Drosophila melanogaster: one gene and its partners. The protein of the gene in region 1 interacts with the protein of each later gene in a pairwise test. Each region holds a gene or a part of one and is shown on either strand. Other genes may lie near its edges. The genes, in order: Ptx1, Bro and CG8314.

Evidence for each region.
Region 2: the proteins of Ptx1 (region 1) and Bro interact in a two-hybrid assay, tested with the Drosophila melanogaster proteins (one large-scale study listed by BioGRID).
Region 3: the proteins of Ptx1 (region 1) and CG8314 interact in a two-hybrid assay, tested with the Drosophila melanogaster proteins (one large-scale study listed by BioGRID).

Annotation. Positions count from the first base shown.
Region 1 is NT_033777.3:30,911,098-30,915,819, forward strand, and holds the start of Ptx1 (Ptx1), read left to right. Parts: upstream 1-1,656; 5' UTR 1,657-2,487; intron 2,488-4,722. UniProt on the Drosophila melanogaster protein: Appears to control physiological cell functions rather than pattern formation during embryogenesis.
Region 2 is NT_037436.4:1,646,150-1,649,130, reverse strand, and holds Bro (brother), read right to left. Parts: upstream 1,263-2,981; 5' UTR 1,227-1,262; coding exon 585-1,226; 3' UTR 519-584; downstream 1-518. Other genes in the region: CG17249 (uncharacterized protein), read left to right, coding at 1,731-2,981. UniProt on the Drosophila melanogaster protein: Regulates the DNA-binding properties of Runt.
Region 3 is NT_033778.4:15,989,094-15,992,873, forward strand, and holds CG8314 (uncharacterized protein), read right to left. Parts: upstream 2,194-3,780; 5' UTR 2,054-2,193; coding exon 1,766-2,053; intron 1,581-1,765; coding exon 1,359-1,580; intron 1,290-1,358; coding exon 1,077-1,289; intron 1,007-1,076; coding exon 848-1,006; 3' UTR 590-847; downstream 1-589. Other genes in the region: Pex11ab (peroxin 11a/b), read right to left, coding at 2,401-2,954, 3,008-3,179; CG8320 (uncharacterized protein), read left to right, coding at 3,614-3,619, 3,685-3,780.

The DNA of each region.
Region 1 (4,722 bases):
TAGACAGCCTGTCATCAATATAAAAGTCGGGGATTTGGCCAAGGGACACAAAGGACATTGTGTAATTACGCCATCGTAAAACAGAAATTCCCCGGGGTGCTGAAAGTCGGACCTTGCACCACAGGTGGAGAACCCTTTATCATCATATTGTACTGCATCATCGTCACTCAGGTGAAATTCTCCCCTCTGAGTGGGTGGATCGCTGGAGTACCAGCCAGCCCTTCTAACATTGTGCCACATTTACGTAACTGGGCAAATGTGTGACGGCGAGTTCAAAGGCGGTAAACTCGAGAAGGTCTGAGCAACTCGAGTGGCTTTAGTATTTCGAGGGCCTCCTCTCAGCGCGATTATCATTTCAAGTCTATCTGCAATCTGGGTTATGCCAGTCGCACGTTCTGAGAGGTGGCAGTAATCAACAAAAACATCACACCATGGATTGCCAAAATGAAATATATCCTACAAATATATACAATTATTAAATATATATAAGTGGGTTAGATATTATGAAGCACGTTTAACATGACAGACTGATTCCCATTCTCTACTTCATCTTGTCGAATTGATTTATTTTGTTACTATGGAATGCAGTAAACTTCCTGAGATCTCCAGAGGTCATGAGTTATGACTCGCATGGCCATTGGAAATTATGTCTGATTAGTTCCGTGGCATGTCAGTTGCGGAATACGAGGCTATAAAGCCAGCATCATTTACATCAGTCGGCTGTCTCCCGGACCATTTCCTTCAGCTTCCCCCTTTCGACCCAGCTAAACCCATTCTTCCACTCAAGGAGGAGGATAAAACCTAAGGGAAAGGCAGGCAAATGCGAAATAAAAACGAAAATTATGAACTGCACAAAAGCTGTTGTGAATATTAATAAATTCTGCCTGCTGCTTGTTTCTGTTTCTGTTTCAGTTTCAGCTTCCTTTGAAAGTATCGCTGTCTCTGTGGCTGTATTTCTGTGCTGGCAGAGCGAACAAATCAAAAAGGGGAAAGTCCCAGGGAGGAGATACAGATACAAATACAAACGCAAGGATACGTCAAAAGGAGCAGTTATTTATTTATTTGCGAGGGGCGGTCGGGGGGTTAAACTGGCACAGGCACAGGCACAACAATGGCGGGCTAACGCAGAATAATGGGATAACAAAACGCCCTTGACACCCAGTAAAAGACAGCCAGCCCTCAAAAGTGGGCAAAGTAGCCTTATTATTATGAACACAGCACGTAGCAATTGTCCAGGGGCGGAGGGCAGGGCTCTGCCAGGGGTCCTCAAAGGGGGAGAACGGAACAAAGGACCAAACCAGAGCCAAACCCGAAAGTACAAATCAAACCCTCGAGAGCGGCCAAATAATGTACGGATGAAGAGCGAGAGGGAGAGTGGGCGAGAGAGGGAGAGCACAGCAATGGCGCACTGCAAACACCAGGGTCTGAGTGAGAGAGAGCGAGAGAGTGCCGACTTTGGGGGTGTGTCTTCCACGCACTCGAATGATCGGACCTCCCTTTCGCACTGCCGCTGCACAGGCAGCTCTCGCTACTCGTCGGCCAGAAGACCATCTCCCTCACACCCTCTCGCCGGTGCACGGGCAGAAAAGAGAGATAAGATAGCGGGCAATACACGGGGCTCTTGCGTTCGAAAGGCGAAATTCCGGGGTATTGCGTTCAGTAGCCGCGAGTTCTCGTCGCCAGCACCACGTTTACCGTTAGCACTGGCCCAACCACCCCGCACAACCCCACCAGCCAGATACTCGCTGCATGCGCTGTACAGTGTACACGCATCCAACAGATACTTTTCCGAATTCGTTTTCAATCCAGCTACGTCCTGTTACGGATGCAGACGCGTCGCCTCCGTTGTGATACCAGATACATGTAATTGCAGGTCTAGAGCTACAGATTTAGATACAGAGATTCGAGTACCCTAGCAGATACTTAGCCTAATTACGCCGTGGATTAAACTATTAAACACTTAAATCCGCCAGGATTTGCCTATCAAATCAAATCGAATCGAAATCATATCACTGAGAGTGCCGCGAGTGACTGTGTGCGCGAGTGTGTGTTTCTGTGAAGCGGCAGCGAGATTAAAAACATATCCCCGAGTTACTTAAAATTAATCACTAACATAATCACTGTGATTTTTATTATTTGATCTGCCGACGTCAACACCGCGTGTGCGAAAACTGTTTAACGGCTGGGGCTTTATTAAATGCCGCTTCGCATTTGATTAGCAATCTGTTGCAACAACACAGCACAAACCTACCGATCTCCCCGAGATTTATAGCCCACTGCCCACGCGATATATCCGGAAGATTTTCGGAGACTTTCCCAGATCTCCGGCATTAGAAATGCTGGCCATCTGATTTATTGACGGACCCACGACATTTGCTCCATCAAAGTTCGCCTTTGATATTCGGGATCGACAGAACCAGAGAACCGACGGAAGTTCGTTCCCACCACCTAGTGGATTAATTTTAATTCCTCTCCCATCATTCAGAGGTGAGTCGCAGTCGCATAAAGTTAATCATAACTTAAAACTTGTTACACTGACCTCAGTGATTCTTGAGTTGCTAACGCACGAAGCAAGAAATTATAAATCAAATTTGATTTAGAAATTCAAAGATTTTAGAAATTGAATTATATAGGGATCTTTTAAAAACGAAAGTTATTATCAGCAACAACGATGTGTTAGGTCATAATAGCCAACAGAAGTTTTCCGGTAAACACCTGGCTAGGAACTTAAGCGCCCCTTAATAGCAATGTCAATTCAGCTGATGCTAGGAAAACAGCCTAGCTTTCCAGCGAGGATCAGCAGAGGTTCCCATTGAGGGCCCAGAGCAAGCCCATAAACGGCTTGTTGGACAACGAATTAAGTTTACGGCGGACTCTCACGCCGCGCATAAATCACGGCGGAGTGAGACTCGGATCCGGATTGCCGCCATAAACAGAGATCTCGGCCATTCCGTAAGGGGGCCTCTGGGCTTCTGGGCCAGTACTGTGGGTTTTGCCAAAAAAATTGGAGGAGAGCCCGGCCAAGCGGCGCTGGCTCATTGACGTCACCTGAACAATTAGCAAACAAGATGTGGAAAAAACCTAAGTACACAATGCTCGGACTCGGATCTCCGGGCAGCCGCTAAACTCGAATTTGAATAAAATAATAAAATTAAATAGAAATGAAAGCATGTGGAAAGCCTTGGCACAACATCGGAATCTTGGCACCTTCGCGACGAAGAGGCCGTAAACACACGAGATCTCGCGGCCATAAAGTGGCATAAAATAATTCTGGCATTCTTTGTCTTAGGGAATCATTATGTAAATAAATTCTCACTTTTGAAATAAAATGACGAGGCAGAAAAGCCAAAAGCTGAAAAACACACAAGAAATGGAGCGGAGAATATTCTTTGGCGAAATGGAATGGAAACAATGGCAAACTGGCAACCGAATTATTTATTAGACGCTGCGGCAGATAATTTAGCCAGAAATTGAGACAACTGCGGCAAAGACAGAGCAAATAACAGTATTATAAATATCCCCATCACGGCAATAAATGCAGAACTTTTCATTTCAACGGCTGACCCCCCCCCCCCACCCACACACACACCAACTAACCAATCGTGTGGCCCATAAATTGGCTTGAAGTGAAATTATGTTTATCACGAAAGGCTGCCTATTATTATTGCTGTTGAACAACCGCAAATGGATTTAACATTACAGCCGCACTAATCCACTGGGGATCAAGTGGAGATCAAGCGGCATTATCAGCGAAATCGAAAGTGACAGCTCAAGCCAAGGCATTCCAATTAAATTTAATTAAATTCACTTAAACACACAACTGCGAATTTATGCTGCCGCTAGATTTATGAAATTCGTTCTCGTTTCGAATGCCTTTGAATGCCTTTAGTTTGTTGTGATTGAGATTAGATAACCATTTATTGCAACGTTTCGTTTCGTTTAGTTTGGTTTCGTTAGCTCAGATAGCGGACCGCATATATAACGTATATGTACATATATGTATATGCCCATTCCCGCCCGATATCGGGCAAAGGGGCCTAGGAACCTGGAGAGGTGTTCCCTCCCTTTTTGCTAATTGATTTACGATCGTTTATGGCTATTTTCGTGCTACTGTCAGTGGGCTGTTTTTATTTTTAACGAATTTATTGGACGCCCATGGCACAGTTTATCGCACTACTGACTGTCAGTGCGGCGCTCTACTACTTCTTCGAGCTTTCCCCAATTTCGATTGCCAAAATCCAAAGGCGCCCAGTGTACGTGCAATCATAACAATAATAATAGCGGAGAAATGCTCGCAGAAATGAAAATATTTTACATCGATAAGGCTGTTATCACCTGGCCCCCGCCATCTCCGCTCCAACAGTCTGCTGATAGCAGTGTAGGCGGTTCGGGGGTGCGGTGGTGCGGTGGCTCGGTGGTGCTGTTGTCAGCCCATATGCCCCACCAGATCCCCTCAGGTGCGCTCCGCCAGCCATACGATTTACGACGCCAACTGAAAGAGTCCCAGTTTACCACTCCGTTTGCCGCCGGCTCCAGCATCCGTGGTATTAACCCCTTGACGTGTTTGGTGTTAACTTGCCATTCGGCTGGTGTTTGGGTTAAGCTCCCTGTTTGCCTTCGCCGTTGAGGCGATAAAAGGTTCCACCAGTTGATTTGCCTACCAGGTAGCCAGCCAAGCGATAATTATGTCTGAGTAGCAATGAACCCGATATGACTAACCTT
Region 2 (2,981 bases), on another chromosome or scaffold:
CCTATTCCATTTTCACTCGACGCCTTTCCGCTTTCAGTTCGGAAAGAGACTGACTCGGATTCGGATTCAGATTCACATTCAGAGCAGTTGCAAAGTTTATTTCGGCAGCATCCCAAACGGAATGGCGGAAAATCAATACGTGCTCACGGGACCGGTGCTCTGGCCGCATCGAGAGTCAAGAGAGGACAGCCGCAGCCACAGCCGCGACAGGCCCACCCCGGAGAGTGGAGAGCACGGCGGAATGGCGGAACGGCAGCTGGACCCACTTCACCATCCTCGGGCAGTCGGCTCGGGTGGTGGTTGTTCCGAAAGTGGCGCAAATGAGGCCAAAGACCCCGGCTAGCAACCCTTAAGGAGGCCCAGATAAACAATCATTAGGTGAACATGAGTGGCTTTCGCCAAATGAATGACACACAAAACTCGGAAACTCCTTGTGAAATGAGAGTTTTAGTAATTGAGAGCAGATATTACCATTAGTGTATTAAACATAATCTCAGTATTATAAGAGCACGATCAATGGGTTTCAGATATTTATTGTTGATTTACTTAGATGTTACTTAAAGCTATGAGGGTAATATATAGCACTACCATCCCATTGGTCCTCTAGGCAGACCAGGCCCACCTCTGTGATGGTGATCCTCGGGTGGAGTCTGGGGCGTGTGGTAGATTCTCCTGGACTCAGCCATGCGCTGGTTGTAGCTTTGAATCTGCTCCTGCAGCTGAGCATCCTCCTGCTGGGCTCGTTGTTCATCGAACTCCAGGCAGGCAGCGCCATCCAGTCGGTCCAGATCCACCCAGCCCCGGAAGCGGACGCACACCCCGTTCATGATGAAACTAGAACGCAAATGAACTTTGCCCCGCTCCCGCTCGAAATCGCAATCCTGCTCCTGGGCGTACGGATTGTGGTTGGCGTTGAAGTAGAGCTGCAGATTAGTTCCTGAAGCTACCATCGATATCTCCGCATAGCCCTTGCGGCAGTCGTTGACAAACCGCATCCTGCGCTCCTCCATTGCACGTTCCCGGTATCCTGTGTAGCGAACCTCGCTCTCCCTACTCAATCGGCGGAAGAGCTCGTCGCTATCGAACTTGGACCTCTGGTCAGGCACCACGCGGGGCATCTTGAAGATGAATCTGGGCTTGGGCTGCTCGTACATAGCCATGGCTTCGTATGGCGGGATCATTCCATTCATGGCGGCCGCGTCTCCGAGATTCTGGTGATGATGCATGTCTAATGTTATAACTGTATTCTCCGAAAGATATAGTTGTACTGATCAATGTTAAAATTGACCGCCTTATTTAAACAAAAAAAAAAAGTTGTAGAACAGGTAATCGGGAGCGATTGGGCTACCTAACGAATCCCCTAATTGTCGCCTGGTAATCAAGGATGGAAACCATCTGGACACAATAAGGATCAGGTATAGCACTTATAAGTATCCTATTTGAGGTTTGTTTTATAATCCGTAGGGTTTTTACAGCTCCGAATATTATACTTTGAGGATTGCAGGTATAATGCTATCATAAATAAAACGAACGAATTGAACGCACTATATAATTTTAAGTTTAAATTCGAAATTACGTTTTAGCGGTAATTTTAACAGTGTTGGTTAGCACAGCGCTTAAGCAAAGGGAGTTGCCAACCATGGCAGCCCAAGCAGGTGACAACTCTAGAGTCCGGGCACATTAAACAGCTGTTGTGTATTGTATTGTTTAACTTTAGCAATTTTATAAACATGTCGCTTGTTGCTTATGCTGCCAGTTCTGATGAAGATTCGGAGAACGAAGAGGAAAATTCTGTACCACAAGTGGAAGTAATAAAACCCCAAGCCAAGCCGAGCACACCAAGTGAAGCGTATCTAGCTCGGGAATCAACCAGTGGTCACATTAGTGATGAAGATGACGACTACGTTCCCCAGGAAGTGTCCCTTCAGGAGTTAAAGCCGCCCAACGGAAGACTGCTATTAGCCTTACCCAAACCAAAAGTCACTGCTCCCGCTAAGGATCTGGAAAATGAGGATGTGGACAACCAGGTTACTTCCGCCTTTGCCAACCTGCCCATGCCACGAACAGCAGCGAAAGGAAAAGCCATTGTAGAGGAGAAAGACGATGAGTTTCTGCACAAAAAGGCGCTGCCCGTAGAAATAGAGAAACCTCCACCGCCGCCAGTCAAGGGAAAAGTAAAAATCAGCATTCCTTCACTAAGAGATTTCTCAGATGTAGACCAGGAGAAAGCTGACAGGGCTAAGAACAAAGTTGATAAGCCCAATGTACCCAAGGGATCGGGATTGTTGAGTCTGCTGCCCCAAGCAAAGTCGGAGCGCAACTTCTCCAAGAACTCTTCATCCGCGGTAGCCTACCCATCAGCCAGCACTACTCTTGCTTCCAGTCTAAGCAATAATCCTGCGCAGCCTCGAGCAGCACCAGCTTTTGTTCCCGATACAGTTAAGCAGCGACGAGCTGCACACAACACCGAAGGCGTAGATGGCCCTAAGGCCGGGCACAAGAAGAATCCTGAGACAAAAGACGCTTTGAAGTCAACAAAATCCAAACCTATAAGTAAACCCACTTCGCTGGTAAATGCCAGCGATAGTGAAGATGATGACGAAGATGGCACTGGAGACTTTTTCTCCCTGAATTCCGAGCAAAAGCTGCCTGAGGTGAGCAGCAACGAGATTAGCGCTCTAGTGGCCAAGCGAGCGGCCAAGATGGTGGAAGCCAGTAGCAAGTACCTAGAGGAGGTAGCCGAGAAGGAAGCAGCCGAAGCAGAAGCCGCCCGACTTCAGGAAGAGCAGTCTCAGATTGCACAAAAGCGCTACCATGAGCAACAGTTAAACGCAGAGGCCATGGACGCATTGGTGGGCAAAAATGCCAAGCGCCGGCGGAAGGAGGCCAAGGAGATGCAGGTGATCGACATATCTGGGTCTCAGGTGCTACCTGATCGCGAGGAATGGATGCGATCGGCTCTGGCTTCGTCCACCACCTTC
Region 3 (3,780 bases), on another chromosome or scaffold:
ATTTATATTTAGAACAAACGCCGCACACAAACGACGGTAAAAATTTGAATTTTTCCGTTTCCGATTCACTGAAATGAAATTTTCCGCTGGTAATTACGCGTATTCCGTCGGGCACAATGAATCGGAAAATGTGTAATTAGGATATATTCACATTTTCAGCCTGTGGCATTATTTCAAACTGTTGCTGATGGTGCAGCGCATATACACGTATTCCTCTTCCAATTCCAATTTGAAATCCACCAGACACTCGCACACACACACTCGCACTCACACTTTGGGAACACAGTGATGTTCTATCTTTCTATATATAAACAATATGTACAACACAGCATCGGCGTTCGGTTCGAATGGCGCACACCACGTCCAGCAGACACCTCCTGGATCTCCGATCGTTTTTCTCAGACTGAACCGAACTGAACTGAGCAGACAGATCAGCAGCAGCAGCAGTAGCCTCGCCTGTCCATGTCGGATAATTTTGGCTGCCCCGAGAAAGAGCAAGCTCTTTTGATGATGATCAGAGATGCGGCGCATGTCTTCTGACACGGCGACTCTCACTTGATAATAAATACAAAATGTACACAAGGCATTTAGTAGGGCTGTCAGGTAAGTACACATCTTCACCCGGCCACGGAAATGGATATTTAATTCCTTCGCTTAGGCCTAAACACACACATACATATGCACGATTTGTAGTAAATATATAGTTGACAATTGATCGAAAAATAGCAATTGCAATATACAAAATTGCACTCAGCGGCGCAACAAGTAGCGACAACTTGTTGCCTTGTACGTTTGTTAGTTGGTTAGTATTGTTCGATTAAGCTAATACGCATTCCAATCACATCCCTCAGACTGAATAGAAGTGCGAGTTGAATCTTGTGCGGCACGAGGGCTCCGTGAATGGTGAAAACCAGGCCAACGAGAAGCGTCCGAACACCGACTGGATGCTCTTGAGGCGCGATTTCTTCGCCCAGCGGGCCTCCTCCTTCTTCAGCTGTTCGATGCCCTGTTGGAGAGAGGAATGCGAGTATGTTAGCCATACAATCCCGTGCAGAGAGAGCAAGCAAAGCACCCACCGTCTGATCGTTTAGGATAGCCGTCAGCTGAGTGGCCAGCATGATGATGGTGAATATGCCGAACATAAGGCCCTCAAAGGTGAGAAAAAGCAGCAGGAATATAGTGGCCGGCGGAGAGTACGGCGAGCAGGTGCGCCAGTCGTTTTTCACGCACTCCGCGAACTGGGTGAGCACCAGGAAGAGCGTGTGCACGGAGATCGAAGCGATATAGAACTGCAAGTCGACAGCCAAAGGAAGAGGCATTAACTGGGCGGTTGAAAGAGATAAAAGAGATGTACTTACGGTGAAGAGCACAAAGTACTTTTGATTGTTCTCGCCCACGCAATTATTTACCCACGGACAGTGGTGATCCATCTTGCGGATGCAGCGCTGGCAGACGGAACAGTGATGAGCTCGTTCCGGCTTGATACTGCAGCACTTGGGGCACTTGTAGAACATCTGACCCTCGCGGTAGCCCATCTGCTCGATCATCTCCTTGGTGGCATTTCCGCGCGGTACAGCGCCCTATAGTTAATGGAGCAGATGATAATTTAGATATAATAATTTATAAATAAATATATAAATCTTATTTGCACACATATACCGAAAATATAGGAAAAATATTGTTCGAAGCTCATGCTTATTAGGCATTTTTGCCGCCTACATACATAGATAAGGTAGTATAAAGTGCATGGCCATCAGCAACTCACCGGATCCGAGAGCATTGTGCGTATGTGCGAGGCGAAGGCCAGGAAGGCGAGTGCCTGGAATATGATCATGTTGATGGTACTGAAGACGGTATAGTTGCTGGGCAGAAGGATCAGCCGCATGACCACGAATTCGGCGAACAGGATAAGCAGCCAGGTCATGATTACGCACACAATGCCGCAGATGTCCTTGACGCACCAGGCCTTGTTTCCGCAACATCGGTTGTGCTGGTCAACGCCACCGAATCCTCCGCTACCGCCGGGCGACAGCGCGGAGTACGAGTAGTTCATGGTGTCCGGATGCAGCCCACGCACATGTGACGCATCGGCCTCGTCAATTCCGTGATAACGCCACCGGACTGCGGACCATTAGCCAAAAGGCGTTTGATAAACAGCAAACGCAAAGCAAGAAAACACAACTAGCAATGTGCCATTCGCGTCCGCGGATATGGCGTCAGCTGTTTGCCATTCGCCCAAGGGCGCTGACAGGGTGAGGATAACCAAGGTGACGGTTTAATAAAATCGTTTGTTTATCATTCAGCTTAATCCGAGCACAAATACAAATACAATACATACAACACTTAAAATAGATACAAGGAAATACAGGCCCTTATCTACAAAGTTTCCAATATCAGGTGTTATGCAGGCGTTAGCTTGGCCCTCGGTTCCAGCAGAGCCCAGAGTCCAGCCAGCGATGAAATTGCCCCCAGGAGTCCAATTGTCCGGGGCGTGAGACTTGTGTAACCCAGAGCCGTCAGCGGAATGAAGAAGTCGCACGCATTCTTCACCGTGTCCACAACTATGTCTTTGTGTCCCTGCATCAGCACGTAGGACTGCAGGGCAAGGCGCTTAAAGTCCTCCGGCGAGTTGATGCTCGCGGGGATGCGGCAGCGCGAAATGCCGCTCTTGCTACCGGATCGATGCAGGTCCAGTACTCTCAGGATCTCGTAGAAGTCCCGGCACAAGTTCATTATGATCGAGAAGAGCCAGTACTTATTGGCGATGTTGGACCAGCGCTTGGCGTTCACCGCCGTCAGTCCCGTCCTGGCCAGCCAGAGGAAGTGATCGGCGAAGAGGAACAGCGATTGTGACAGCTTGCTTAAGGTGAGCGTCACACGGATGTTAAGATCCGGATGGTGAATGGTCTTCAGAGCGCCGTAGAATACATCAACGCACTTACCAAAGCGGAGTACTGAGTTGAAATGAGATTAGCTACGTGCTCGTGGAATACCTTAGAATACCTACATTTTCGGAATGTGCTCAGGATGTATTCAACCGTCTTGAAGTTGTCCACAAGCGCTGGATTGGAATTGGCGGACTCCAGCGAGTCCCACATTGCACGCGAGGCATACTGAATAAGTCGGGCGATTTTGTCCCGTCCGCCAGCCTGATTGTTCAACTGCACCAGTTGATCCATATTTATGTTGTGACCGCACAGCTCGTTGGACAGCTAAAATCAAAATTATGCCAAATCCAAAATCCAAAGTTCGATTATTAGGCTGAGGGCCCAGCAGCTGTTCTGCCGCTTCACTGTGAATGGCAAGTTTTTTTTTTAATAAACCAGCACCGTGGGCGTAGATTGAATATATTGTGGGTGCAACAATTTGTAAATAATATATTAAGAGCAAATTAAAATAAGTAAATTGCTTAAGTACCTTTCCATTACAGTTTTAAATGCTATATTTACCCTTAATATCACTTTCCCTCTACGGCCATGCTTAACATAAGTAATGCGCACGTTTCACAGCACTGTCGTTTCAACACCGTTTTGTTCAGTTGAAGACGTCGCCACGTAAATAGTGGTCCGATTTTAGATTTTGAAATAGCTGACACACAACTTGCAATCCCACCATGGCTGTAAGTGTAACTAGCACAGGGATAACGCTCTCAAGGATTACATAAAACCGCTTGTCCACTTTCAGCCCCAGCAAAAGGGTAAACAAGGCACGAAGGGCGCCAAGCAAATCGTGGAGGAAAACAAGACTACACTGACTTTCTACCGGAACATGGCCATTGGA